Linked DNA regions of Lepisosteus oculatus. The protein of the gene in region 2 binds, or shares a complex with, the protein of the main gene of each other region. Links are inferred from orthologs where the notes say so. Each region holds a gene or a part of one and is shown on either strand. Other genes may lie near its edges.

Evidence for each region.
Region 1: tfdp2 (region 2) and e2f2 share a complex: the UniProt entries of both Homo sapiens proteins name them as parts of the DRTF1/E2F transcription factor complex. The link is inferred for Lepisosteus oculatus from reciprocal best matches to the Homo sapiens genes TFDP2 and E2F2.
Region 3: tfdp2 (region 2) and lin9 share a complex: the UniProt entries of both Homo sapiens proteins name them as parts of the DREAM complex. The link is inferred for Lepisosteus oculatus from reciprocal best matches to the Homo sapiens genes TFDP2 and LIN9.
Region 4: tfdp2 (region 2) and e2f4 share a complex: the UniProt entries of both Homo sapiens proteins name them as parts of the DRTF1/E2F transcription factor complex. The link is inferred for Lepisosteus oculatus from reciprocal best matches to the Homo sapiens genes TFDP2 and E2F4.

The regions. Positions count from the first base shown.
Region 1 is NC_090706.1:10,810,939-10,819,063, reverse strand, and holds the start of e2f2 (transcription factor E2F2), read right to left. Parts: upstream 3,094-8,125; 5' UTR 2,510-3,093; coding exon 2,246-2,509; intron 1-2,245. UniProt on the Homo sapiens protein: Transcription activator that binds DNA cooperatively with DP proteins through the E2 recognition site, 5'-TTTC[CG]CGC-3' found in the promoter region of a number of genes whose products are involved in cell cycle regulation or in DNA replication.
Region 2 is NC_090708.1:15,800,980-15,808,140, reverse strand, and holds the start of tfdp2 (transcription factor Dp-2), read right to left. Parts: upstream 3,092-7,161; 5' UTR 2,428-3,091; intron 1-2,427. UniProt on the Homo sapiens protein: Can stimulate E2F-dependent transcription.
Region 3 is NC_090697.1:55,789,228-55,796,477, reverse strand, and holds the start of lin9 (protein lin-9 homolog), read left to right. Parts: upstream 1-4,172; 5' UTR 4,173-4,260; coding exon 4,261-4,339; intron 4,340-7,250. UniProt on the Homo sapiens protein: Acts as a tumor suppressor. Inhibits DNA synthesis. Its ability to inhibit oncogenic transformation is mediated through its association with RB1. Plays a role in the expression of genes required for the G1/S transition.
Region 4 is NC_090715.1:4,496,122-4,503,783, reverse strand, and holds the start of e2f4 (transcription factor E2F4), read right to left. Parts: upstream 3,022-7,662; 5' UTR 2,899-3,021; intron 2,463-2,898; 5' UTR 2,115-2,462; coding exon 1,995-2,114; intron 1-1,994. UniProt on the Homo sapiens protein: Transcription activator that binds DNA cooperatively with DP proteins through the E2 recognition site, 5'-TTTC[CG]CGC-3' found in the promoter region of a number of genes whose products are involved in cell cycle regulation or in DNA replication.

The DNA.
Region 1 (8,125 bases), on a different chromosome or scaffold from region 2:
AGCCCTCCCATTAGTGCCGATCACTGTGCCACACTGCTGAACCCCAAACAGCAGCAATACCACATGTACAGCCCAGAGAGCTGCACAAATCGGGGTAGCCCACCTCCAAACATCAATAGCTTTTAGGAGTACAGTGCTTTAGCCACCACTCTGCACTGCCCCAGAATAATAAGGGAGTGTTCCCCACTCTGCATACAAACCTGGGATCTGAACTCCCAATCCTCCAGTTACTGGCCCAGACCCCTGCCCACTGCTGCCCCTTAAAGAAACTTAATTACTATGCAGTTGTGTTGTTCACTGTATTGAGATCCTAATCAAAGCACTTACACTTTTATACCTTTACATCACGATTTTTCTAGTAGCACAACGCAGACCTTTATTTTTCAGTGACTTTCCTGTTTGAGAATAGTAATAATCCATGTTCCTGCAAACTACTAATTTTGGCAGTAGCTGTACTAACAAATGCACCATCTCACAGCTGACAAAAAACACAGAAATTTCAGAATAGTCTGTGAAGAGGTCAAGATGCAGTGCTTTCCTCTCAACACAACAACTTAAAAAGACGACCTGTAATAGGAACAAAGCATCACATATTGCTGTGAGTTTGAGCAATTGAGGACCAGAATACTGCACACCTGTGTAGTTCAATGTAAATCCGGCTGGGACAGATGCAATTACTTCCCTGTGCTTCAATCCAATCAAAGGTTAAAAATAATTGCCCTCTCCCCTTCAGGCTTACCCTATACCAGAAAAAATACAGAGCAGGTTTGAGTGACACACTCCTACATTCTCTCATGCAAATCAACTGTTAGTTGATAGGGCAGACATGAGCACCCAAGAAAGTCAAATCAAGTGCTATTTTCATAATGTGGCACCACCAGGTTACGCTGCAAACATCACTTCAACTGACGTGGTGCACCCAGGAAATCTGATGTGCACCACAAAAAGCTGAAGACCATATTTTTGTAGTTCTTGAAAATTTGAAGTGAAGGGGCAGGGAGGCACCCTGAACTGCGCAAGTTCCAATTGCTTTTTCTAAACATCATCTACGTCCATCTGAGGCTATATACAGTCTCAGCACTTCTACTCAAGCAATTCATTCATAAAGGAGAAGCAAAAAAAACTGCTCATCACACTTCGATCCAGTTACCCCAGAGGCTTTTAAACTGTTGGTTTTTTTTTTTTGTTTGGAGTAGAAACACCTTCGCACGAACTCCGCCTTAAACTGGCTTTTCCTTGCGAACAGCTGAATTCATCCGAACTACACCTGCGCAGACCTACCCCCGAAGCCCTCCTGCCCACTGCAGCCGCAAACAGGGCTTGACCCCTGACCTCTGCACTCTCCACCCTGAAGTGACAGCGGCAGGTTGTGTGGATGTGAACGCACTAGGAGTACAGCAGGTGTCACACAGAGTGGCAAACCACCGGAAAAGGACACCAACAGCTGTGCAGAATGAATGGAGCAAGTTGGTCAAAATTAGCGGATAGCGCACACGATTCAACTGTCTCGTTTTATTCATATTTCATCACGCTCTGCTGTATTATTTGGGAACCATTGGAGAGGTTTCATTTCCGTTTTAATGACGCACATCTCCCGGTCTTGTGCCTCTGTCTCGGGCTATTCTTATGGTACCCCCCCCCCTCTTCAGGCGTGTCTCTGGTCCTCCACTGACCCCCTCTCTCAGGCTGTAACAGCTGGGATGCGAGACCACGGCCTCTATCAAAGGGGAGCCGCAGCCTCCTTCCACGCCGCCCGCGGGAAAAGCCCAGACCTCCTCTTCCATCTTTTTACTGCCGCTTCAGAAGGCGGCCCCACTGACTTTGCGTTCGCTTCCAAAGCGAGTCACCGTTTAGAGCCCTTCGCCACTTGAACGACTTCTGGGCGCCGCAGACTCGAGCACTGCACAATTAAACAAATCTCGCAATTTTTTGGGCCGAAAAATTAAACCATCGCTCCCCCCCACCCCCCGCACATACACTCACATTTAATAACGCGACACGGATTGAGCTCTAAACTTGTGCTCGCAAAATTTACGCATCCAGCCCAGTTAAAGCGATCAGTAAAGTCAATCTGAAATTCTCATATTGACTCGACGTTTCGATTGAGACGCAACATTAAAGTTGCATACAAAACGACACGCCTTACAGCTACGGGGGTACCATCCTAGACCGCAAGGTGTAAGAAAGGGCACTTTATTCAAAATAAAAGGTTAAGATGGAGCGCATTAAATCATTGCGGACTTACCGGTAGCCTCCCGGAGGTAGCTCTGATGGGCTTCGCTTCAGGCCCGTGGGGGGTCGAGTACAGACAGCTCGCCCTCTGATCCCCAGAAGCGGTGTTGCAGATCTGGCTGAGGTAGCCGGACGATAAAGAGTTGATCGGAGGACTCGACAGTTCAGTACCGAATAATTCGGTTCTTGCCCCGGCTAACACCTTCCTCGTCGACCCCGAAAAGCCAACTGCTCCCTTACCGGAAGCCGGAGAGACCCCTCTGGGTAACCGCATCATCTTTTATTCTGCTCTGCTAAAAATTCCCCACTCAAGTCTGCCACTCAATCGGGGGAAAAAAATAATAATGCGGTATATCCTTTTTGTGTGAACGACCGGCTTCCAGAAGCTTTAGCAGAAATGTGCATTCATAAAAACGATTAAATATTAAAAACAATGCAGCTGACTGCTGCTCTTGCCGATTGTCGATAAACAATAGGTTAAAATGCTAAAAATACGCAGAATACACACAAGTAATAAAGTCTTAAATAATCTATCTGTAGTAAACGCCACCTCTTTTAAGATTTCAGTATTTTTAAACTAATCTAAAACAAAATTGCTTCGTAGACCTAGATCTGGTTACTGCATCGAAAAGCAAGAGAATGAAAGTGGACTTCCAACTCTAATAGTGTCAAAAATCCAAAAAATACCGCCTATCCCTTCCAATATAGGCATATCCAGATTCAGCAAAGTCTGCAGATTCACAATCCTGGATCAGAATCCCTAATACAAGTGTATTTTGTACAGGATGCTTCGGATTTTCATCGGAGTGCATGAACAGTCCTGCTGAATTCCTGCTATTTCAAAGTTACAACAGCTTCAACTCCCCAGCTGATCAGACCTGCAGTTTTAGCGCCAAAGTGCGTCCCGCGAAATTTGGATCTCCCGCGGCTGGAGCTCGGCTCTGATTGGTCACAATGCTGCCCGTTTGTTGGTTATTTGCATAGAACTGTTGGAGCGCGAGGGGAGGGTCCCTGTCTTTAAAGAGACAGAGGCCGATATTCTGGACTAAGCTTGAACTCTTTATTTACCTGCTGCATTTAAATTGCTTACAGGCAGCAACTCGAATCAGACATTTGGGGACCTGAAGAAATGCGCAGGATTGCATCGTATTCAGTAGAACTTTGTTAAGAAGCAGCTTGTGGGAGCTGCCTCCCATAAAAAAAAAAATCCGATTATTTACCAACGTAGTTCAGCCTGAATACCACCAGGAGGACTGTAATGTAAATATTCTTCAAGCCTCAGGGGAATCGTACATCCGGGGGTTGACACGAAAAACTGAACGCTTCGGATTTGTTTTTCTTTAAAGTGAATTTCAGGCTGAGCTCGCTTGTCCTGCGCCCCAACCTTTTCTGCTACCTGGCTTTCTGAACGCTTAGCCAAGCAACTGAGTGTGACCAGCTCTTTATATACATGATGTACACGTATTTATTTATATATTTACTTATATATTGCTGTGTGTAGAGTATACATTTTGCAGCAACTGAACGTTTAAGTCTTAATAATAATATTAGTATTAATAATAATGTCCTCTCCTCACTGTGCCCACTAAATCACGGACTTTTGGCGACTGTTGGTTCTGTCGCTACTCCAGCGTTGTGGGATGACCTTCCTCAGACTCTATGAGACAACTTCTTTAACTCTCTTCAAATCTCAACTTAAAACTGACCTTTTTACCAAGATCTGCGTCTGCTTGCCTACATTTGTAAACACCTGTATTATTATTTTTATTCTTGATTTACTTTGTATTGTACTTTTTCGTCTTCTTATTAATGATGAACAGCGTCATTAGAAGGCATTTTATAAATAATACCTTTCAAAGTTGTTCGTACACAGAAAAAGACCCAAAAAGTACAATAAAAACTTTAAAAAAATAAGAACACATGGTATCATATAGATAGAATATGGTGGATGCTGCACATTGGTGGTGGTGGAGGGGAGTCCCCATTACCTGTAAAGTGCTTTGAGTGGAGTGTCCAGAAAAGTGCTATATAAGTGTAAGTGTAAGCAATTAATAAAGGTCAATCAAATAAAGGCTGTGGTGAAAAAAGTTAGTTTTGATTTTGGATTTGAAGAGAGTCTTGAGGAAGGGCTCTCCAAAACATAATGGCAGTGATAGAAAAAGCACAGTCCCCGAGAGTCCGAGATCTAGTCCTGGGTACTGTGAGCGGAGGACCAGTCTCAGCTGAATGGGGCTAGAGGAGGGAGTGTAGACATGCAGGAGCTCAGAGAAGTATGTTGGAGCCTTGAACAGTAATAAGATCTTATCTTGAATACATGATTCTATAGGCAACCAGTGTAGAGACTTGTGGAGGAGTAATAAGATGCTAGCATCTGGTGTGAGTTAGTAGTCTAGCTGTCTAGAGTTTTGAACATATTGCAACTCACTGAGAAGAGTGTTAGGGAGCCCATTGAGTAAATAATATAGATCTAATGCTTTATACTTACCTGAAACAGGACTTTCCTATTGGCCTTTATCTTTTCATCTTTCAGACTGTACCAAGCTGCGCGAGAATCATGCAGGACTGGAGCTCTCAACTTACTCACCAAATGGATTAAAAACATAAAAGAGATCCAGCTCTTTTTGTGACAGTTAACTTGGATCTGAGAATTGTTTCTGGTCAGTTCTTAGAGGATCTCCAAGAGGCTATATAATATAATAGGGCTATATAGCATGGAGGTGCTGCTTATTTCAGACCCCAGCCACTCTTTGTGTAAAGAAAAGCTTCTCACTCTCCTATGGGTCATATGAGCACACCTTCTTAACTTCGATGTGGGTCCCCAGATCCTTGGTGATCTTCTTTACTCCCATTGCTCTCTGGCATCTTCTGTACACAATAAGCACTAAACAAATTCCAGCCTGAAGTCTTCAAGTGCTTATAGCAGGTCTGTGTTTGTCCCTCGTGCAGTAGTAACAGCAAAAGGGAAGGCCCAGAAAACGACCCCATCCCCACTCCCAGTGCATGGCCATGTTGTGATTTTGTGCCTCACAGACCTGGGCTCTTGGGTTCGATTCCAGCCTTGGAACTTGCTAACTTTGCAAGTTCATCCCCATGTTCATGTGGGGTTTCTCTGGTCACTCTTTCACGTCTTAGGCATGGCTGGCCACTCTAAATCGTCCCTTTTTTTTGGAGGGTTAAAGGCAATTTCCTTCATGGAGGGGGGTTTTCTCCATGTTAGTATGGAGACGAATTGAACAGAAATGAATGAATGTGAATATGGTGTGTCATATGGCCTCCTGTCAGTTATGCTCTTTCCGACATATAAATGCACACATCTAAACTGTGCGTACCTGGAAGACGCTTGGGGCCAGACAACTGCACATCAGTGGGGAGACCACAGCGACAGGGTTTCTGAGTGGAAGCTCCTAACTTGCTCGGTCAAGCAGAAAGTGATGCTGCCTCCACAGGGGAGTGATGTGGAGTGGTGTGAGTGGATCTTATAATGAATACATTAATACATGTACTATATATGAATACAGAATAATTGCTTACACTTATACAGCGCTTTTCTGGACACTCCACTCAAAGCGCTTTACAGGTAATGAGGACTCCCCTCCACCACCAACCATGTGCAGCCCAATCTGGATGATATGACGGCAGCCAAAGTGCACCAGTACACTCACCACACACCAGCTCTCAGTGGGGAGGAGAACAGAGTGATGAAGCCAGTTCATAGATGTGAATTATTAGGAGGCCATGATTGGTAAAGGTCAATGGGAACTTTGGCCAGGATGCCGGGGTTACACATCTACTCTTTTCGAGAATCGCTCTGGGATTTTTAGTGACCACAGAGAGTCGGGACCTCGGTTTTAACAGTATAGTGTCCCCGTCACTATACTGGGGCATGAAGACCCACACAGACTGCAGGGGGAGCGCCCCCTGCTGGTCCCACTAACACATCTTCCAGCAGCAACCTTAGCTTTTCCCAGAAGGTCTCCCATCCAGGTACCGAGCAGGCTCACACCTGCTGAGCTTCAGAATGGTTGTCTTTCAATTTTCAAACTGATTAATGTAATACAGGGTGGTGGGGGAGCCGGAGCCTATCCCAGCAAGCAATGGGTGCAGGAGAAACCCTGGACACACCAGTCCATCACAGGTCAGATACACACACACTCACACCAGGGCCAATTTTCGCTAAGGCCAATTAATCTACAGTACCAGTATGATTTAGCTCTCTGGGAAGGAACTGGAGCACCCTGTGGAATCCCACGCAAACACAGGATGAAAATACATACCCTATGCAGATCGCACCCCAGGAATCGAACCCAGGGCCCCAGCACTAAAAGGCAGCAACCACTGCACCATGCTGCGGACTCTCCTGTACTTGATCATATACAGTATAATTCTCCTCCATTAGGAGGACACCTTTAGAAACTTGTCTTCTGACCTTCATAAATAGTGCCGTTAATTAAACATCTCCCTGAAGATGTCAATCAGTTAACTCATATGTGTATGACCTCCGTAAAAATATATATAAAAAAGATGCAATACCTATCGTAGGCTACACCTACAGGACAACTGGGACACAAGATTCGATCTGTGCTACCGCCCTGGGCCGCTAGGTGGCGCTCCAGTCATGCAAGACAAATCCACCGTCCTGGCAGGAGTTATATTTACATTGATTCAGATATAAACACCCCAACTTAGTACGACCACCGAAGCTGAAGGTAACAACAGTAGACATGAATCAAAACTACAAAGGAGACTTGTATAGAATAAGAAGAGTAAAACTTGTCACAATGAGGAAGTCTGGCTGACTGGGCATTGGGATTAATAACAGGACACAGGGTCTCTTTCACTGGGTGGCGCTTAGGCCCGTGGAAAAAAAATACAAAACGCACTGTACTTCGACAGTATGAGGGTATTTACAATACACGAACTAGCAAATTTAGATCAATCAAACATCATTTAACCAAGCTATTAGGCGTTTCGTTTCGAGAATTACTGAGAGTGGATCGCCGCGATCAAAGAAATGAATACATTATTATTATTTGTAATGAGCACTTAAAAACTCAAGAGGATTAGAGAAGACAGTGATGTCACTAAAGGCCTACCCGTACGATCAAAGTAACAAGTTAAAACTACTCGTGTAATCTTAATCTGAAATTGAAGCGACGGAGTTCAAAGGACATAAACGGGGGTTTATAGCAGGAGCCATCACTCCTGTCTTTCCAGGACGCTTGTGACCTCTAATGTAGGGCAGAAACGATGCACGTGGGTCTTTAGCTCACCAGTGGGGAAAAGAGGTTAGTGTGCGTACAGCACTGGGACCAAAAAATAGATTTTTTTTTTGTTTCTGGGTTTTTTTTTAACTGCAAGGCGGGAGCGATCTGAGGCAGACTGCCCGGCGCCAGTCCGCACCTGCGAGCGAGTTACAAGCCCCAAGATGAGTTACACAGGTGCGCTCCGGCCTCGCCGTGAAAAAAAAAAACAACAAACAAAACAAACATCTCCCTGCTCCTCTGTGTCCAGAAGCTCCCGGGACAGGAAAACAGGGGGTGTTAACGACGAAACGACGGCAAATGAATAAAAGCAAACACCGGAGCCGTTAAGTCGTTCACGAGAGTACGAAACGGAGCCCGAGTGTCATAACACACGAGCAGAAAGCGTCGGCTGACACCGGGATCCCACGAAACCGAAGGCAACTTGTGATACCAAACGGGATCTCTCTCCGGCAGGCGGAGCAGGGTGCTGTCTTGGTGCAAAAGTCAGAAACCAGGGCTCTCGAGGAGAAAGGACAGGAACAAAGGGGGTGTTGACGACGAAACGACGGCAAATGAATAAAAGCAAACACCGAGTAACTGCGCATTTGATCTCGAAGCTCTGCGGGATATCCAGTACAAACAACTCGGAT
Region 2 (7,161 bases):
CTACAAGGTTGTCTGGAAAGAAGAAGACCTGGGCTTGAGTCTGGGTTCCAGTTCTTGGGCCTACACCAGCCAAGAGTGAACTATCAGAAGTACCACAGTGTGCTACCTACCAAGAAGTGACACACTGCTTGAAGCAAAAGGGACAGTCTAAAAACACTGACTCAATTATACATAGAAAGGAAAACGGAGATAATTAGTTCTCCTTAAACAGGGAAAATATTGTTTTATTTCAGCCAGTGTGATCACTGCTGTTTTCACAACGAGCAAAGCTAGCTCACTGAACTGTAGAGAAATGCTGAAATGGCCGTCCAATTGCTTTTCCACAGGTAAGGATCTCAGACTATGCACAAAGGTTTTACCACAGATCCCTCAGAACGGCGATCCTTTACGTCATCCACTCTCGTACTTAAGAGGCATGTGCCGTGTGTGATAGAGGCAATCAGAACATGGAGAGAACCACTCTGAAAACAATTCAACACTCTGATAACAACTCTGGTCTTTTACAGTTCGAAGTGTATGACTGCAGCAGCTGATGCTGAACTTTCATATTCCCAACCCCACCATTATTTGCTGAAATGCAGGATAGCAAATATCTTAAGACACCTGTCACACACACCACCCCTTCACCCCAGGAGGGTCTCAGTTTTCACAGCCTTGCCACTAAGAGATTATTACTTTAAGCCGTTTGTACAAGCACAACAGATGTCCACCACAAGTATGACAGCTTGTTGTTCTGTACTATGCAAAAACACCAACGAAGCAGCTCTAACAGTCCTGCCTCAACAAATGTAGGTTTAGATTCACACTTTTCTTCCTGCCAGACATGACATTGTTTGCCATATGCTGTACAAGTACAATCCGTACCTTACAAGGATCTTTGTCCTGAAAAAGTTCTGGTCTCATAAGGCTGTACTAAATGAAGTGTGGGAACTAAGAAAGGATTTTGAATGTGTGCGGTTACTTCTTTATCTCACTCTGAGGGACTTCACTGCCTGCACATCTCTGTGAGAAAGCAAGTCTGCGTAAGGCCACTTCTCCAATCTACCATATAATAAAACACTGACGCAACATGAGCTCCTACACTGTATCTCCTTTTAGGACGTTTAATGCAGCCTGAAAGCACCGGAAGAGATCCAATCTTAGCTGCAGGGTGGACATTAAAAAAGGCTTTCATTAAATACATTCAAATTACAGAAACTCTAAAGGATGAGGCAGTCTTCTAAATGAAGTAAAAAATTCAGAACAAAAAAAAAAAAGGAAGATGATCTCTATGGCAGAAATAATTCCTTTTTCAGTAAGTGATTCAACCTTAGAGGGTTGTGGTGAGCCAGAGCCTAACCCCATCAGAGCAAGGCTTTAGGTGGGGCTACATCCTGGATGGGACAACAGTTCATCGCAGAGTGCACACATTCACACAGGGAAGCCATTAGAGACGCCTGCTAAGCTAGACAGCTTGAGGGAGGAAACCGGAGGTTCTGGTGAAAAAAAAGGACACAGAGAAAGCATGCAAACTCCACACAGAAGGTCCAACAGGCTAGATCTGAACCCAGGGCCAAGACCTAAGATTCACTGACACTGACATCACAGTGCTGCCCCCTGCCATCCATAGTACTCACGTCTTTTTAGTGTATGTTTTTAATAAAGAGCGGAAAATGTAAAAGATACCTGTGATTACGGGGTAGAATATTTGGGTTTAACGCTTTTGTGAATAATCTTTTTGTAATCTTTAGGTATCAGGCTGGACGAGTTTGGGGTTGCCCACTTTAGATCACGAGTTAATGGAATTGGAAGATGAAAAAGGGACGGCTAATCAGTCCGTTTAAAAATGACAGCAGTTCTGAAACATGAAGGGAGAAATCAAATTCAGCAGAACACACTAAGTCAGAAGCATGTGAGCAGATGTACAACACTGCCAGGAACTGGACGCCTATTCAAAAGGAGGCTCTCTGGCATGAGTGATGTTGATCCCAAAGAGGAATTTGTAGACGATGGCTGGAATAACTTACTCGGAAATCATACAGGGCCGGTACACCGCGCATGCAAAGCAGGATGTTAACCATTTTCTGCATTTTCACTCTTGCAAAAATAGCCCAATTCGTCTTGTACAGAATTGGCATTTGATGTTTCCTTTACTGCTCGCGAATTAGTTTGCATCACAAAACTGTACCAAGTTGGACGTAATATATTAATATAATATAGCATTTGCAACATAAAATAAATACTGCACACGGCAGTCCAATTATGTACATTTTTGTCAATGAAAGCTTGCACATCAGACAATTTAATTACAAACATCTTAGCGTTACTGTAGTATAAACATATTAAACCCTACACCGTCGCATTATTTGATATTTGTCAAATCCAGAAAGAAATACTAACAGTTAAAGACGGCAACGATTTTAAAAAGCATAAGTCAAATATACTTACCATTTTGTTTTTTGTAGAAGAATTCACAGTCAAGGGCAAACTTTAGTTTCGTTTTCAGTATGTGCGATTTCTTAACCGCATTCATCGGTCGACTAAAATTCTTATAAACTAAATAAGCTAAAAATGTGCACAAAGTGATGTCTACGATTCGACACTCAAAGCGAGCTTTAGACCTTAGAATACGAGCTTTAAATTCTACGAAGAGATAAACTCGCTTTCAAATCAAGTGATATACAGTACTGTAGGTCGCTAGACTGTAAAGTTGCAATTTTGGAAAGACTAAAGTCTAAAGTGCAGAAAATAGACTTCAATAAAAAATCTCGAGCACAACTTGATTTTTGCAGCTTCCGACATCCAAGCAATTTCCAGTGAATCGATGCGCTGTATTATCCTACCCTGCGGGCTGTGTCTTTCGGGAGTTTTTTGTTCGCTTATTGTAACGATCAGCTCAGCCTTTTTTAAAAGAAATACACCGCAGCTTGAAACTACCGAAGGGCGCCAGGCTGGTTGCTATCCTGACGCTAGGCGTCTTGCGGGTGTTGCGCGAAATTGCCCCCCGCACAGTTTTGAAAGTGGGGGTGAACGTCAATGGTCTTTGCCCGAGTTGCACTAACAGAAGGGAAACAAGCTGCAAAGCAACTGTCGTCCGCTTCCTGTCAGAACAGACTCCGCACACAAGCTTGGCGGCGGCTGCAGCTGTTCGCTCTGATTGGACACGCATGTCTGTGATGCTCGACACCAGATGAAAGCAGATTGGACAACCCCCCCCTCCTTACCGGAGCTGTCATCTGGCTTTTTACAAAGAAGACAGGCCGATATGTAAACAGTACGGATCTAAGAAACCCATCATTTTGATATATTTCTTGTTAATGAATTAGAGATTCATATTTCAGGATGTCTTTTATATCATTTTAAGAAACCTAAACTTTAGGGGACACCTCAAAGTACTTTATGAGACTTCTGGAAATATCCTTGCAAATATGTGAACGGTAATTTACTCTCCGATCCCTTACAGTTCAGATTTGTATCCCTGTAAATCATTGAAAGAGATATCAAAATAGTTTGTTTCCATTTTGCACCAACAAACAGCGAGTCGTTCCAACTTATCTCTAAATGATTAGTCATCTCTGCATATGCTGGTATCTTAAAAAAACGAAAACAAAGGAAATGTGTCTGCGATACCTCAAATTATAATAATGATAATTAATGATTTGTCTTGACTTAATAAAGGGGTGTCCGTTTTTGTTCACTGTAACCCTTCACGTAAGAGACATGGGGAAAGAACATCTTTATCTCGTGCGCAGGACAGATCGTGCAAGCAAGAAAAGTAGTGGGGATGACATTACGTAAATCTCTACTGCACGACCATCAGGATTGTGCTTTTACTTCATCTACATCGTTGAGAATGGTTTGGCCACGAGGTATATCTTCTTCGCACGACATTATTATCTCACAGTCACGACTTAAGAAGTCGTGCGTCAGAGAAAAAAAACAATATTCCCGCTTTTCGCCTCCTAGGCTCCATAAAATAATAACAGTTCATCTAATTAAATGAGAAGGAAGCCTTCCCAGTATTCCGTGTCTTAACAGCAGAGACTTCTCTGTTGCAGGGTTTCTCCAACCAAGAGACTGGACTAAATGTGTCTTAACCTGGAACTCCTGCTTATAAATGTTTTCAAATCCAGAGTAAGGTCATGTAGAGGGATTTTGTAGACTTCCGTTTGATTAGATTTTTACATTGAGAGACCTCATCAGGAAAAACGTCTTGTTCATCGGTTATGCCGCCAGAAAAATGTGGAAATCCCACCTTGTTGTACCCTACACAAACCAGCACCTTCAGAAAAACTGTTGTATAAAGGCCCACCCACACACTTTTACAATTTTACAAAGGTATAACCTCCAGAAATAAAGCCACTGGGTAGCAATAAAGCCAATTTGGGAATTTCAACATTCAAGTTCTTGGATCTTATGTGGCCTACTGCAGTTATTTCCTCTCCAAGACAGACAATCCACCCTTTTACTCCCCATTCCCTCCAAGTTTGGATGAAGAGCACAATTCAATTCCATACCTGCTGTACCAGTGAACATGATGACATGGTGTTGTTAAGGGACACCAGGGACAATTTGGGAATATTTATCTACAAGTGCCATTTTCAATGGCTTTGGTATGGTGAAATAACACACACAATAAATCTGTGAATTGTGCAAGTTAAAGTAGTTCTGTTCATTATACGATTGAAATTGAAGTAAACACCTTAGTTTTCTTTGATGATGATCTAGGAAAGCTAAAATCACCTTTTAATATACTGCAGACTTGAAAGGGACTCATCACCTATTCTAGAAAGGATGCTTAAAGATGTTGCAGCATCCTTCATTTATAATGTGAGTAAAAATAATTTTCAAAGCAAACAGCTTAAATTAAGCTCAACAACCAGTTTCAAAATCTTTAAAATTGCATTTTGTCCCTGCCAGGACATTCCTGCTTCAAAAGGTTGGGTGATACATAGTGTATTCAACTAACTTTTACAGTTATGATGCAAAGATGAAACCAACAACAGAATCATATTAGCTCTAATGCAAAGACAGTACACACGGATAGTTTCTGTTGAGGTACAGCTATTCTGTGCTTTGGTGATGGTGTTGATTTTAAAGTGTCTGTGCATAACACTTCACCATCACCGCCTGTTAGTTAAACAGAGAAGGGTGTGCATGTGTGTGTAGGTATGAGGGTAGGGTGGGGCACATTCCATTTTCATGCCAGTTCATGTAAGTGGTATGCAGTGGTGTATACCAGGGTTTGACTTTCCACCATATAAAAGTGAGGTCTGGTACCTATCTAGTTTATTTCACCACTATTCTGTTAGTAATGGCTGATTTCTTAAGCCAACCAGTAGACGTGCTGGGATCGCGGCCTATCGGGCCTGGCACAGAGTCCGACTAATCTAAGTCATAAATCTTAATGCCAAGTTCGATACTCTGTAAATTATGCATCCCTTTTCAGTAACACTTTAGATTAGGAGTTCTATTTCTAAATATTTTATAATTGAAACATAATAACAACATTAACAGTCAGCAAACTTTGATCATTTCCAAACTTTAGTTTAGATTAATTACATTTGTAAAAAAAACTACTTCTGATTACACCCCTAGGATTAGAGGTGTGTAATTTAAGAACTCTTTATAAAATCATTAAACACATGTTAATAGACCTTTAGTACAGAGAGTTAAACTTAAGTGAGACCCTTTAGAAAGTATCACTTATAACTCCTAAACCAAACAAATAATTGACCAGTTAATTTATCCATCCATCTATTTTCTAACTGGTTATTCCAATTCAGGGTTGTGGGGTGAGCCAGAGCCTATCACTGCAAACAGCACGTGCAAGGCCAGGTCACCCTAGATGGGATCTGGTTAACGACTCCATCGCAGGTTACTGAAGCTTCCTTTAACCATTTATATACTGTATGAGAACAAACTGACTTTAGTCCATAAATGTACAATTTGTCAGTAAAGGTGAATTCCTAACAGCTTATTAATACTCTGTTAATGCTCTCTTGATATAGTAAAGATGATGAAAATGTATAATACATGAAATTTGCAACTTCTTATCTGAATTTCACTCGTCAGTACTGTTTTTTCCCCTCTGCAAAAACCATGGACAAACTGTTCACTCCAAAGTTAATGAGTAAGACAGGTCACATGCCAAAGGTTCGCCCACGAGGAAAATCAGACACTTTGTTATAAATCCTAAAACAGGGCAAAATAATTATTAACACAACCTGAAAGACACCGTTTGTACAATCTAATTAACAAACTGTGCTATGTGATATGAACAAGAATACTGGAGTAAACCTCCATGCCTCAATGTAGTCAAAACAGAACACAATCTTATACAGAGGTCATTTATAATTACTTTAAATATACAGTATATTAATGGTTTTAATGCATAAAGTTTTGATGATGTCATATTTTAGCAGCTGTAGGAAACAAAAACAATTTGAAATACGTTTCTACAGTGTTGTAATCAGGTAGCAACCCCTCTCCCCCAAATTAAATGACATTAACCTTGCTATACAAGATTGTCATTTCTATAAAAACTGAAGCCTCCAGAAATTTGGGATCATAAAGTAATAGTCATGGCAAATACAAATCTTGGTGTTAGTGATAAAACAGCAAAATGCAGTACAGAGGTAGTACTATAAAAGTGCAGTTTAAAAATGCATGATTTGGAATTAAAAAACATTCCATTTCAAAATTAAACATGTAAATACTCCAGTTAAAAATATACTATTTTTAAAAAGGAGTACATTTTCACAGTTTAATTATACCCAGTGTTTGTGTTCAATTAGATCCTGTAAACATTGAATTTATTATTTAACAAATTCTAGGAAATGGATGGTTATACATATTGGCACATAAGCCTGAGCTTGAAATAAAATGCATCTATAAACTGCTCTATAACAGACAATACCTTTGGTGAGACAAAGAGCAAAGACAACTACTACTATAGCGAAGGAAGAAGAAAAAGCAGCCCATGAAATAATATCTCCTCTGTGTGTGGCACCTGCCCCTCTTTCACAAGCAAAGCAGTATTTCAGCCTGTTACAACCTGTTGGACAAGTTCAGGAAGCTGCCGTTTGAAAGTTATGCATATTTCCCTCCTCAAAACAATAAACAAAGCAGTTTGGTTTAGATACTATGCATCTAATGCATCCAGCTCTGTAAACCTCAGAA
Region 3 (7,250 bases), on a different chromosome or scaffold from region 2:
TTAGTATAAGATGTAAAACCAAGGTCATTTAAAATCCCAGGGTGTTTCTTGAAAAGAGTAGGGGTGTAAACTCCTGTGTCCTGGGCCAGATTTCCCCCCATTATTATGACCTCCTAATAATCCCCATCTTCGAATTGGTTGCTTCACTCTGTTCTACTCCCCTGCTGATAGCTTGTGTGTGGTGAGCGTTCTGGCACACTATGGCTGCTGATGCATCATCCAGGTGGATGCTGCACATTGGTGGTGGTGGTGGAGGGGAGTTCCCATTACCTGTAAAGCGTTGTGTCCAGAAAAGTGCTATATCAGTGTAAGGAATTATACTGATTAGGAATTATTAAATATAATAAAAATAATAATTATTTATTTATTATTATAAATTTGTTTATCTGGGTTTATTAATGTAAGTTAAAATCCGTCCTTGGTCTCTACTCACTACCTTCCGAGTAGGATTCCATTTGTTACAGTTTACTCTGAAAAGGAATTCCATGCCCTCTACTCCAGCAGATAGCAGTGTCCCAAATATACAATGCCAAATGTGCATTTGGGTTACTGCTAGAATACCGATTTATAGCAGATGCCTAATTTTAAACACAAGTAAACAGTATAAAGTTTAACACATATGAGTGTTCTGCTAGTTATTATAAAATGCAAAGGCAGGGATCTTATTGCCAACACAAGCTGTAATGCCATAAAAATAGTATTTTTGCCAGAGTTTTCAGCGAAAATGAAGCATGTGGAAAAGGCATTTGATATTGAACTGTATGTGGTGCAGTAAAGAATGCAATTTAACCCAAACCAGCTCTCAGAGGAAGCATTTGTCATTCTACACAATGAAATATAACTCCTTTTTTATACTTTATGAATTAAACAGTGATATGCAGAATAATTCATCTATAAGCCTATTAATTAAGAACATAAGACAGGTTAGAAATGAGAGGAGGCTGTTTGGCTGTCTAGACCGATTAAGAATAAAACACCTTTCTTTGGGATTTGCTGCTTTCTGAACAGTTACATAACTGTTGCACAGACACACTATCTATTCATTCAATATTCTTGTACATTAATACCTGAACTGTAGGTGACAGGGATTACAAGGACAGTAACTCACTGTTCCCATCTGCTAAAAGAACTTTAGTTTAACACATCTTCACACATTGGCAAAATGTGTTTAAACAACTGACTTTCCATCGGCTTCTGTAGTATTTTAAGTCTCAACCTTTGACCTTTTGTAAAGGCTGGTGTCTGGGCTGAAGGGTGACTATAGTTCATCTGGGATAATCTCGGAAAGATTCTCTGCAACAGTACCATCAGAAAGCTCTAGGACTAATAGTATTGTATTAGAGTCATACTCAGGTTTAATCGGACAATTTATTTCTAAAAAGTCTAAATACAAACACAGGCAAAATAGACAAGATTAAATCAAACCTTTAAACTACCTGAGAACTGGCGAGTTACACATTGAGTCCTTGATGGCTTCTTTCCACTGATTAGCACACCAAATTGCCTTCAAAAATTGATTTTTACGTTGTAGTGGATAGAGGTTTTTACTCTGAGTTCAGGTCAGGTAATCTTTCCTTCATAATACATGGTCATCATGTTTCCATAAATCTGGTAGTATTGAAATTATTTCTTGTCTTTTGTCTATCTTCCTTTTCCTTATGTGACCTTTGTTTTATTTTCATTGTGTTTATGACATTTATTTTTCCATGTATTCTAGTGCAAATTCTTGTGAGACCCTATTTTTATAGTTCAAATTGCTGTAACAGACTCCCAGAGGATGTTATATGTCTAGCTTATAAACCCAATTCACTTCAGAATTTCTGCGCAGGCCATGTCAATTTACCTATGGAGGTTAGTTTTCAGTTTAATAATGAGATACACTAAACACTCCAAATCTTAAATTCTATCATAACATTTTTTAGCTCTGCCAGTCCAGAACTATTCTTTGTATGGTTGTTATTACAATATTCAAGAATTAGTTTGCCATTTTGCTGTATTATGTCTTGAGAATACTGCAAATATGCATCCTCACCAGGTCCGTTGATGTTCCCTGTGGTAATTATTCCGTTCCATTGTAGTTTCCTCTGAAATAATCTGTTTAAGAAGACATCTGGAGACATCATTACTGTCTAAAGGCAACTTGTGGGAGTAAACTTGGTGTTAATAAATTGCACATTGACTAATGGCATGGGAATGATCCTGAAGTTCATTTGTTTTGGATTTGTTTGTTTTTCCTTAATAAACATTGGTACTGGAGAATATCACGCACAGTACAAGTCCTGTCGTGGCTGATTACAGTGACCTCCTTCTACAGAATCTCTGTCAGTTCCAAAGTGCTTTCATACTCATGAGAGTCTTGCCTTGGGTATGGTCCTAATTAGCTGTATTAACAGTGTGGTTAACATTATGGCCTTAAAAAGGCTTTAGGTTGTATACAGTAGATAGCAGCATTACTCATTAACACTACAGACAGTTCTTCTACACCCCAAGGCATGAAATAAAGAACATCTTACAAAAATCGTGCTAAATCCCACAATAAGTTAATAACTTCCTATTTTGCCTGATTTCTTTTATTATTAAATTTTAAATAGGGAATGCCTTGGAAAGAACACACTGTAAAGGGATTGTTAATAAGCTTAAAAATGAGCAAACATATAATAAACCTCAGAGGTAAAAATCTAGCCCTTGTTCTGATGCCATCGCCCCTGTTATCTGTATTACAGAAGGATTTCTCTATTGTATTCTTTCTGTTAGGTAGACAGAAATAGTCTGAGTAACTTTTTCTCACTGGCATTATAAAAGTCTAAACACGAATGTATTTTGACAGTTTTATTTGCTCACTAATCCATTTTAATTGGAGATTCCATGCCCCTTTCTTTTAACAGAGCAGAGATAATTGAAAAAATAGATAGGCAAGACTGTGTTTTAGATTCCTTACATCAAGCACCTGAAGTCAGAGAGCCTTTAAGGGCAAAGGAGAAGCTGATCATCAGCTTGAACTGCTTTGTTCTGGTGTCCATCCCTAACCATGTCATCTACACAGGTTAGTGGAGCCAGCAGAGGTAAGCAAGAGGCTCGAGCTGAAGTTGCCAGAGGAGTGTTGGAAATAATCAAGAACCCACCAACACCAGGCAACAGAAGGACACTGGAGGAAGCCCACTCTCCAGGGGAGGAGCTAATCTCTGAGGGAGGTATTTGATTTGAAAAAAGTGAAGCGTACCAACCAGCATTGTTTTTTATTGCAGCTGTTGCCCCTCTTGCATTTTAGTAATTTAAATCTAATTAAAAATCCTGTATGGTTACTCTGTCATCAAAACTTTTACTCTGTATTTAACATAATCTGAATTTGACTAGTCCAATGATTTATGAGAAGCAAATAATGGCTTTATTAAATGTCTTATAGCACCCTCTTCAGGCCCAGGGATTTAAAAAAACAACTTCTGAAAAGACCAAAATAAATATTTCAAGTACATGTCATATATATAATGAATATGCTATTACAAATGTAAATCATAGGCATTAAACCATTCTTGTGTATATGCATATCTGCCTTGCATATGCCTACTTTTCTGTCTACTGTAAACACTTTGTGATGAGCACAGTATGTAAAATAAACCTTTTCAGGTTTGGAGATATACAAGATATTTTGTCTTTTACACTTGCCTATATTTTTGTGTTTGCTAAAATATCATTCTGATTTGCCGAAACTCCCCTGGTCAGATGAGCTGTTTCCAGTATTTGCTAGCAGAAGAAATAATTGTTATTTTTATTTAGGGAAGAATGTGCTCATATTAGATTTCCTACTATTAATGGAGAAATACCAAAATTAATATATGTCATGAAAAATAACATTCAACAACTTTTATCAACAATAATCATCTTTGAGTTATTAGGTATGAGCAGACACCTAATAACGTTAATATATTTTAGTTTAAAGGCAACATTACAAACTTGTTCTGTCTCAGGGAGGCCTGGTTATGTCACAACCCTAGTCTCTGTTATAAACCAGAAGTTTCACTTCAGGAAATCATCAAGTAGCTAGAGTGCAGATAAGAGTAGTACACAGAACATTCTTCTTCTTCCGTCATAGGTGTGCAATGCTAAGGTTGTACTGTAAAATGTTATACTCTCTAGAATCACGAATTAAAGAACAAGCCAAATGATAAATTCAACTTTAAATTACAAAAATACTCGAATAACAAGCGCACTAAACATCCATCCCGCATTCGAACTGCCCTCTCCGGCAGTCTCTGTCCCACAATGCATTCCGACCGGCAGCCTTTGAAAAAGCGGCGCGGCTCATTCAAGATGGCGGAGCTGGAGCAGCTGCTGGACGAGAGTGAGTAACAACAAAACTGACAAGCGGTTTAAAAACTGATAAAAATGTTCGGAAACAGTATTTCCAAGAGTAATACTGAACGGACACTGCTCAAGTGTTTCTGAAAAACACGCCCGAAATGAATTTGGACTGCTTAACGGAATTGTTTCTGACGCGAATATTTCTTGTTTGTGCCATGATCAGCTGCTTTTAATGAAGTAGCTAATATCAATACAAAAACACAGAGGTGAGCATTGTGCAACCTTTTTGACAGTCATTCTTTAGGTACACACAAAGGAGAATTTGATATATTTGTGTATCATCAACGAAAAGGTATGCAGGTCTTCCCCTTTCTAAATCCACAACAACAATTTAGCTGGAGCCTACGGAGAATAATAAAGCTCTGCGTTTCTTTACACTGACGTGTTCATTTTAACAACTTTTTTATTGAGCGATGCGAAATTCTCTTGTGTAAAAAAGTACCGTGAAATGTCTATCATTTTTTGTACTGTAAACACATTGTTTACCTGTGTGCTCAAACAGCTCATGACAGGAGTGTTAACTGGATAGCAGTGCATATCGAATGCCTGCTGTACAGTGAATTAAATTTAAAAATCTGCAGAAAACGTTATTGGAGCTTGTTCGTATTTTAAATGAGATGGATGGTTTTCCATTGATATTGTTTTGGTAACATTCTCATTGCATTTCATAAACTTAATTGTATCTTAGCTATATGAATACAATTTAGTTGTACTGCAGAACATAGTGTTATTACAATATGGACAAACTATACTCTTCTTGTTGAAAGACAGTTCTGTAAGCAATGGACTGGCAAATTGGAAAACTTAAAGATCTCTATGACTTGTGGGACAATTGGCCCTGGTGTGAATGTGTGTCTCTGTGTCTGTATGTCCTGTGATTGACTGATGTCCCATTCAGAGTGAATCCCACCTTGTGCCTGTTGCTTGCCAAGCTATGCTCCTGCTTCTGTGCAATTGGGTTTATTGGGTAAATTGGTTAGAAAATGGATGAATGGAGATATCTATGAAATTTTCACAATTGGAAATGTGGAATTGAAATTATCATCAAAAGTGTAGATTTAAAAAAAAAAGAAATCTTTTGATATTCATTGATTTCCATGTTTTATTTGTGACAAATATTAAACAAGTGCTCTGGTAATGGACTGACCTTCATGCAAACAATTGCGGAAGAAGGACTTGGATAGATTTAAAGGTTTCCAACATGCATCTGTTAGGCAAGAAACTGTAGCTTTTATACCATAATGAAGAACCTTGGAATGGGTATTTCAGTGGTTCTCAGTCCTGGTTCTGAAATTTGACCTTAATCAGTGATGCATATTGTTGGTAGGCTTACTTTTTTAGGAACCTAGGCCTTGGTTTAAAAAATACCCAAGTACTGTGTAACAGCTTTAGCATACAACACTTTATGTAGTCTCTTCTCAGCTTAAGAATTTCTTTGATTTTCTCATTTCTAAGGTTTCTAAAATCTTGTGTGTCTATTCTAGCATTGCTCATGTATTTAACAGAACATGAATTTAACATTCTAATGATAAAGAAAATTAAAAATGATTTTATTAATTTGAAGAATACTTTATACTGTTATCAAGGAGATCATGTTCCTTCATGTTGCCCTCCTACTATGTTATTTACAGCATCTTCAATGTCCAGTCAAAGAATCTCCCTGAATATGGAGTGGCAAAATGCCACATGTTCTTGTTTTTCTTGGCTGAACTTGCTAATAATTGCACACATTTTGTGTTTTCATCATATGGCCTTTCTTGGAGTGACAGATTATACATAGTTTGACTTCTGGTTTTGAAAGTAAGTGCAGTTAGTTTGTTTTATAGAGCTGATTTTTCAATTACATATGTATCCATTTCTAAAATGTAGGCTAGATCTCCTTAAGTTCTCCTGCTGATACTCACTGTCCTTTATAGATGCTTTTTCAGATGAAAATTAAATTACTTATGATGACAAATTTTCTTATGGTGGATTGTTGAATAATAAGTCAACAGAGTCATTTGGAACAGATAAGACGCGATTGTGGATTCTGGCAGAAGACGTAGTAGTTATTTAGCTATATCTCACAAACGTAGAAAGGGTAAAAATATATATGACCCCACTTTATCAATAATATGACCAAAAATATATTTGGGCTACCTGTGAACACGCATCACTTCTCTGTCACAGGAATCTCCTGAAGTAGAATTTTGAACCACAGTGGCATATTATTGGGTTATTACAGATGATATACTTATTACATAAACTGTAGTAACCAAATTGTTATACTCTTATGTTTCACCTTCCTGACAGCATCTCAAGCTATGCCATCCTTTCTGCTTAGCTGCTCGAATGTGGATTTAGTTCATCTCAGATTGTGATGAATTGGTTTAAGATGGATAATTTTTTTTTTCTACTGCATGCATCATACCCATGTTGTTTTAAGATAAGATCACTTTATTAGCCCTATACAATTTCTTGCATTAGGAATTCATCTTTTCCCATACCCCAGCTTGCTCTCCATGAGACACAGACAGGGAGAGTAGCTTGGGGTCAGAGTGCAGGGTCAGCTATTTATACAGCCCCCCTGGAGCAGCTGGGGCTAAGGGCCTTACTCGGGGGCCCAACAGAGTAGGATTCCTCTGTGGGATTTGAACCGGCAACCTTCCAGCCACAGGCGCAGATCCTTACCCACAGTGCCACCGCACCGGTTTAGACTATTGTAGGTGACTATGAAAGTGTCTCAAAGAATCTATAGACAATGGGTAATGCCTAGATAGTCAACATTTCCAGTTCTTATAGCTTCAAACCAAGGAATATTTACTTAGTTGTGCTGGGAGCGAGAGACACTGAAAAATAGTTTTTTTGATTTTCTGAAGTTCTGGGTAAATGATTAAGAGTATCAAAAGTAT
Region 4 (7,662 bases), on a different chromosome or scaffold from region 2:
AAAAAACAAACAGTCCAGATAAAATCAGTCCCTGGCCCACAAGTAATGCAGTTTACAACACACCATCAACTCCAATAATGACCACTTGCTCAAGAGTTCACACACACAGGGAGCATACTTCCACAGACAAACACACTGCTGGGGGTCACTGCATTCCAGTGTCACTGCAATAGGCATGCAGTGTCTTTTAACACAAACCATACAACCATGATCATTCCTTTACCTGGACGCTGACTGAGCTTTGCAATGCATATAGAGCATCTTATAGCCTTTTTATCTCAGACTGACTTCATAACCCGAACCACTATGCCATTTTATGCCTCCAAAATGTGTCCGGTTTTAATATTCTCATTCCCAGGACGACACAAAGCCTCCTACGTCAACCTGACTTCGTGCAAAGTTGTGATCTTTCAAAGCCACACGACAAATTACATAAAGGCAGTTCACACAACAACTGAGGCCACAAAACCCTCCGTCGCTTCTGTGCTGCACAAACTGCAGAATGAAACGCACAACGCAGCCGAAAGGAAAATCAGACACTGAATGCACATCCGTGCAAACCAGTTCTTCCCATAAATATGAACCCAGGTGCAATGCATGCGAGTGGACAGGAAAGGTTTCGTTTGCACTTGCATTTTAAGCACCATTCTTAATCGAACCAAGTGCAAAACTGACTTCAGGGCACCTTATCATCCTGCTGCACAGCTCACACATCTGAAAAAACAGCTGCATCACTGCACAGCAACACTGTCAGAAAGGAAATCTCTTACAAGCGGGCAGCCACTGCGCAGTTGAGCAAATAGTTAATCATTACTCAACTGTAACAGTCAAGAGACCCATGGCTGAGAAGGTCAGGAGGAGTAACAGAAGGAGCTCTCTGGCACACTGCTTTAAATGTGCCATCGTGTCTCCTCACTGAAAGAGCCTGAAAGGGACCAAAATGAAAAAAAAGGGGGCAAATCTAAAGTAAACGCAAATGATTCGATCAAGCTGATATTGACAGCAATGATCAATCAGCCCATCAAATCGGCACAATTTTCAAAATGCAGCGAGGACTTTCGGCTATGCCCCGTTTCAGTGAGTATTTGTTTCCGATTCAAAGAGCTCTGGAACTGCAGGATACATTAAGCTATTTCTTCGTTGAACAGTGGAATAGAGAAAGAAACACAAACGTGCAGATCATGATGCACTGAAACGTGAAACTGTAATAATTACATAACCCTCTGCTGGCCACACTCAAATAAGAAAGCTCCCGGTAGGCTGTCGCGGTTAAACATGACTTCGGGGATCTTCTGCGCCCGGTGTCAGTAAGAACACCCCACAAAATGAGAGAAGGGGGAATAAAAACGCTTTCTAACCTGAAACAGAGTATTCATTCTCGGACAGCCTTGAAAACGAAACCTGTATCTTGTGGAAATCCCCACGCAGTTCACAGACTTGCGTGGCTATCGGTGCAACAACCATTTTTTTTTTAAAAAAATGTATCTATTGCAATGAAAAGGGGGTATTTCTAATTATGGTTTCAGAGGTGTTTCTTTCTATAAAGGGGCAAATGATACGATCACTAATCAATCAGGCGGACGACTTCACGTCTTCCCACAACACAGAAACATACCCCGACCCCCCCAAAAAAAATCCTGGGTTTGTTTTTGCTGCATCACCACGAGGGAATCTTTGTCAAAGTCGCCGCGGTGCTTCTCGGTGACAGAAAAGCTCGTCTAAGGTCCTGAATTATTCGGACGTACAGAAACAGACCCCGAGTACTGTTTCACTGCGATCAGCCACAACCTCCCCTCCGGTCCCCCACGGACAGCCCCTCCACGTCCCCCGTTTAAATGCCTCCTTTTCTCGGGGCTTGGTTCGCCCGCCCACGCGTGGCCTCGTACACGCGGGGCATGCCACAGGTGTTGCTCCGGCGAGACCAGAGAGCACCCAAGAGCGGCGGTAAAGCGGAGATGTTTGTAATTCATGAGCGAGCAGCGGCGCACACTTACAACTTTCAGATCCAGAACTCCATCCTTGGCCTCCTGCAACAAAGTAACGAACTTGGTCGTGAGCAAGCCCAGGCTCTTCTCGTGTCGGCTCGGGGTCTGGGGCTGTACTGGCTCGGCCATGGCGCCCGGGTCAGTTCGGATTAGATCCAGAAGGGTTCAGCTCGGTTCTGGTCCAGCCCCCCCCCGCCGCCCGATCGCCGCAGCCACCACCACAACCACCACGCAATTCGCTCTCCACCTCCTCGGACCGTCCCCGCCGCCGCCCGTGTCGCACCGCGATCCCGGAGTTGGGCTCGGTGTCCCGCTCTGGAATGTCCGGTCCGATCCGATCCGGCTCGGCTCCCTGTTGCCCGAACCCCTCTCGGCCTGCGGCCACCCGGCAATGAGGTCTATGGTATGGAGCCGTTAGCGGCGCGGGGCATGCTGGGATCGATTTGAACGGCAGGGGCCGTCTGCAAAGGGCAGTTTCTAAACATTAAAAAACAAAAGAGAGAAATCCGAGGACATAGTTCATTTCGATCCACAATAATTAGAATAGCCACGAAATAAGTACGATAACACGATCGATTTCATATTTCGGAAAGTCTACAGTCAAATATTTAAATACAATTCTGAGCACATGGCCGGCGGTGCTGTCTCTGTCGCTCTCATTAAGAACCCTAATGCATTTACAGAAAGCAGTAAATCCATCAGTTTCGTGTTGAGAGGCATGACTTTATTCCCTATGTGAATGTCTGATCATTGTCACTCGCCGCGAAGGGGACTCCTGTGATCCTACACCCACGCAGGACTGATACATCTCGCAACAATTTGCTCACCAGCAGTTACTGAAGCTGGGAGCCGCTGCGCAGCGCGAATAAAAGAGCTTATTTATACTTTATCATATTAATTTAAAAAATCCCACCTCCAAAGCAGCCTTCCAACAAAAATCCGGCATTGTGCTCTTTAAATCAAACTTCCTGTTCCGTCAGAAGTCGGTCTTTGACAGGGTCGCAAGCTGCGTTCACCTCGCTCCGCTGAGCCAATGGATTGGGACTGGCCGATAGGGAGTGTCGTCAAATTACTTGTTCAAAGCCTTTTATCGCTCCATTCCTACTCGGTTGTGACTATATGGCCATGACCCTGGTCGAAAATTGCGTTTTCCAGTGTGTATTACTGATAAACCTTGGAATAGGACAGGAAGTAGTAACTAGATACTCAGAGTTGGAGGATGTCACTACTGAACATCAGCATTTTCCTGTATTGTGTGCAATACAGCAATCTAGTGAAATCAAGACCTGTGCGTTTGAATTTTGGTAGCTTTAGGTTGTTGTTTTTTTTACATAAAGCTTCATTTTTTCTTTTACTCTGTTCGCATTTACTCTGCTTTTTCGTTTTGTAAAGAGTTAATGTTTACCGAGATGTGTACAGTCCATGCACCATAGTAGGTAGGTCCCTTTTCAGCCGATAAAGGCCCATGGGGGAATGGGGGGGCAAGGGTCACCATTCTTCTCAACCATCCGACACTGGAGGTGGAGGTGATGTGGTCAGCATCACGCTCCAGCCAGCCTGTTACCCCCAGAAGGATTAACCCCCGGTACTCACTTGGAAAGCAGGCTGAGTGGACCTGGGAGCTGTCTGGAAGGAATTGGAGCAAGCTCCATCTCTTGACCCTTCCTGGGATGGAACCCGGGACCTGGTCAGGAGCTAGATGCCCTTGCTGGCTGAGCTACCACATGCACTGTATTATCCCCTGCAATTGTTTTTGCAACCATTTCACCACGAAGTATCAACCACGGCCGGGTACAGACTGGGCCTCTTCAAAAGTCTGCACAATTGATTGTATATTTTACATTGCACGTACATTTATTTTTTTGTCTTTCTCATCCTACATGTTTGTCCCTTGTTTGCTAATGCGTTTATGTTCTGCTAAACGTATTGTGTGTTGTGTTATGTCTTTTACCTGCCTGCAAAGCATATTTCCTATCTGGGACAATAAAAATATTCTTATGATGAAGGAAGTGTCCCATAAGATACGTTAAGATTCGATTTCACACTACCACGAGAATGCATTAGTTTTCTCAAACTCCGTTACAGTCACAGTGTTCAACCCCATGCCAGTAATGAGTCACTATGAGTCATTTTCAGTTATGCAAGAGCCAGGACATAACAGCTTATAAGTCATTAGTATTATTCTAATATGTCACGTGACAGCATTATGCATATATTTATTATCCACATTGCAGGACTCAAATCACATATTTCACGCAGCGTGGAGACAGGAAATCATGTCCTGCCGAACGATACCCTCTTCCTGATCTGGAGAGTCCGAACCCTCAACTTTTGAAAATACCCTGAAACCCGGAGCCCCACCTATCAAAGCAGAAGGTGACACAGCCGCCCTGCCACCCCACTCTCCAAGCAGCAGTAAAGGACGTAACCAGCTCCCATGTCACGTGATACATTCGTTATCAGAACGCTACTAGTTGCTGTATTATTATGTGATACAGACAGTTTGACTGTTCAGTCAACATTCCACAGTTTTACAGTCATTCCTAAACACCACCTGATCAGATCCTCCCAATTCCATGATCATCAGAAACAAAGGAAATACAATTTCCCAAGGGAAAGGAAGGCCCTGCCTGGATCTCACGGCTAAGGAGCTGGATTATCCCGTCCTTGTTAACAATCCCAGCTCCCCTTTCCCTCCCCCTCCTGTTCCCTGCTGTGCCTTTCCCCCCAGGGAAGAGATAAAGAAGCCCATCTCAGACTGAATGGAGAACACACACCCCTCTCCCTCAGCCCACTGAGGGCAGCAGCCAATCACATTGCTTGCCTCAGAGTGGCCAAACACAAGAGATCAAGGGGCACCACAGCTAAAGAGTACAGCCTCGCACAGCCTGGACACATCAACCGAGCAACACAGGCAGAGATGGCTGGCTGGAGAGGACAGCTCACGTTCCCACTGCCTGCAGTGTCACAAGAGAAGAGTCAGAGATGCGCTATCTGCTGCACAGCAAGAAATATCCCTGCTTCCCATTCTGGGCCTTTCTGCCGTTTGTCATTGCATTCTAAACTAAAAACAGTCCCCCAATTTTACAATACACTATCTCAAAATGAATGTATTGTGTTGTTTTGTGTTTTTGCATTTTTGACTCCAGTTTGTTCTCATGCCTCGTAAATAATCGCTACAGCTGCTCTAACTGAAACACATAGTTCTCCATTTACTGTACAAAGTCATCATCATGTGGGTAACCAGTGTTGCATCAAACAGCCTACTACAACACACAGCCATGGGAAGGCTGTTTTTAAAAGCAAGCTGTGCAAGGTGGCTGTGCTTCAGCTTGGTTTTTAAGATAAGAGATAAGATCACTTTATTAGCCACATACAATTTCTTGCATTAGGAATTTGTCTTTTCACACACTCCAGTTTGCTCTCCATGAGACACACAGACGGGGAGAGAAGCTTGGGTCAGAGCGCAGGGTCAGCCATATTACAGCACCCCTGGAGCAGTTGGGGTTAAGGGCCTTGCTCAGGGGCCCAACGGAGTAGGATTCCTCCGCTGGCCACAGGATTTGAACTGGCAACCTTCCAGCCACAGGCACAGATCCTGAGCCGCAGGGCCACTGCTCTGCCCCTTTTTCTTAACTGCGGAGGGGGGCCAATCAGGATAAGATCACTGTAGATGTGTCGGTAACACACCTGCACGGTGGATTGACACAGGGCAGCTCCTTTGATCAAGCCTACATTATCATTTTTAATTGAGCTAATGACTGCAGCATAAACAAAAATATGTCTTGCTTGATGAGACATGCAGCTCAGCACTATGCATAATAAGTTAATGTCTTGGAGTGCCCCAGTTCCTGCAGGGAAAACAGGCTTTTCCCCTGACTCTGATAAGGAGATTGTTCCACAGACCTGAAGAATAAAAGTGTATGCAGGGCCAGAGCCAAGTGAATAATTAATACAGAACTGGATCATTATCTTTTACCACCTCTTCTCTGATTAGGGGGCCCTGTCTGATGGCTTAGCCCTTTGTAGATAACATTTCACCTACATTGGCTTATTTGCTCAAGGTAATAGAGGAAATTCAAAGGCTTTTTCTTCACCTTTTGTTTCCAATAACAATAAGCAATTTTAATTTAAAGGGATATTCAGTCTGGTTTACAATACATACGGTAATGGGCATATCCCTATATAATGTCTACAATTTTAAGTGTTTGTTTGCCTTGAGTGAATTTTTTTGTATTTTTGCTGTTACACCTTTTGCACTGTTGTAGGGATTTGCTTGATCAGCGTGTCAATCAATCAATGCTGCAATCAATAACTTTGATGCAATTTGTCTGACAGGTCAAACACACCTCAAGAAACAAGCACACACAAAGACATAAGGCAGACTCAAAAATCTGCTTGTACACCCCAGAAAAGTAATGTCAAATCTCAGAACTTGCTAGCTCTCACAGTTGCATCGAATATTCAACTTTTTGTCTGCTCCTTTGTGTTTGCATGCTGCTTTTTCTTGAAGTACAGGACTATCGGCGAGCCAAATTATTCCAGCACTGAAACTCCACCTGGCAACTATACAATAGCTCTGGCCTGAGAGGGGTGGGTACAGGAAACCTGACCTGCTCTGCATGCCTCTCTGAGAAAAAGAACTTAAAAAAGAGAAGGTTAGAAAAGAGAGAAGTACATTCTGCCCATGTAGCCTGCACAGTAGTTAGTAGTTAAATGATCCCAGGACCTCATCCTGCTGTTTCTGGGAAAAAAAACAGGGTATCGGCTGGGTGGGGTTGTTCCAGACCCCTACCATGCTTTGTGTAAAGGCATGCCTCCTTGTCCTGATTGGAGGATCTCATCCAGCTGTTTCTGGAAAGCAGCCAGGGGATGAACAACATGGCCCGGCAGCTTGTTCCACACTCCCACAACCCACAAGTAACTCAGAGAAACTACAAAAGGAGTTTTAAGAAGCAAACCTGCTCTTCCTCAAGCAACTGAGCTTAACGCATTGCTCTTTAAACATAGGCGTTATTGTTCAATGTGCTCCTTCAAAAAGAATAATGCATGATCCTCCGAAAAGGTACCCATACATCAAAGGTTCCTGTTCCTTTGATGTGGGACTGAAGATCTTATTTTCCCCTAAAGGTCTGACGAGGGGCTCTCCTGGTGTGTGCAATGTTCCCGACTTTTAGAGCAATCAAGAACCCCTGAACATTTCATTCAAATTTAGCAAAGCTGTTAAGCAAAGCTCTTAAGAGTCATCCCATTTCATGTCGCTGGTGAACCTGATAAGCCGCCCTTGCCTGCTTTCTGTGGTTTATCAGGTCAGCCAGTGCCTGCAGCTTCATTCTGAACTGTTAGTGGCACTAATATTATTTTCTCCACTCTTATTATCTTTTTGTCAGGCCTTTGTTTTTCAGAGCACTCGAATGGACGTCTGCCGCCAGCTCACACAGCTCCAGCGAGGTTGCCTCTGAGTGGCATCAGGACCTCCTGACGTGCAGCTCCGGCCACCCGCCGCCAGTGCTGAGGTCAGGGGTCGAAGGTCAGAGGAGCTGTGGGCCTCTCTCCACTCCTGCTGGGATCTTGACTGGATCTGCAGCAGGGGCATAGAACTACAAGCAGAAGTACCCTCCCCTCCCAAATTCTGACTGACCTACTTCTGTCTTTCAGTGTTACCGTTCACATGCAG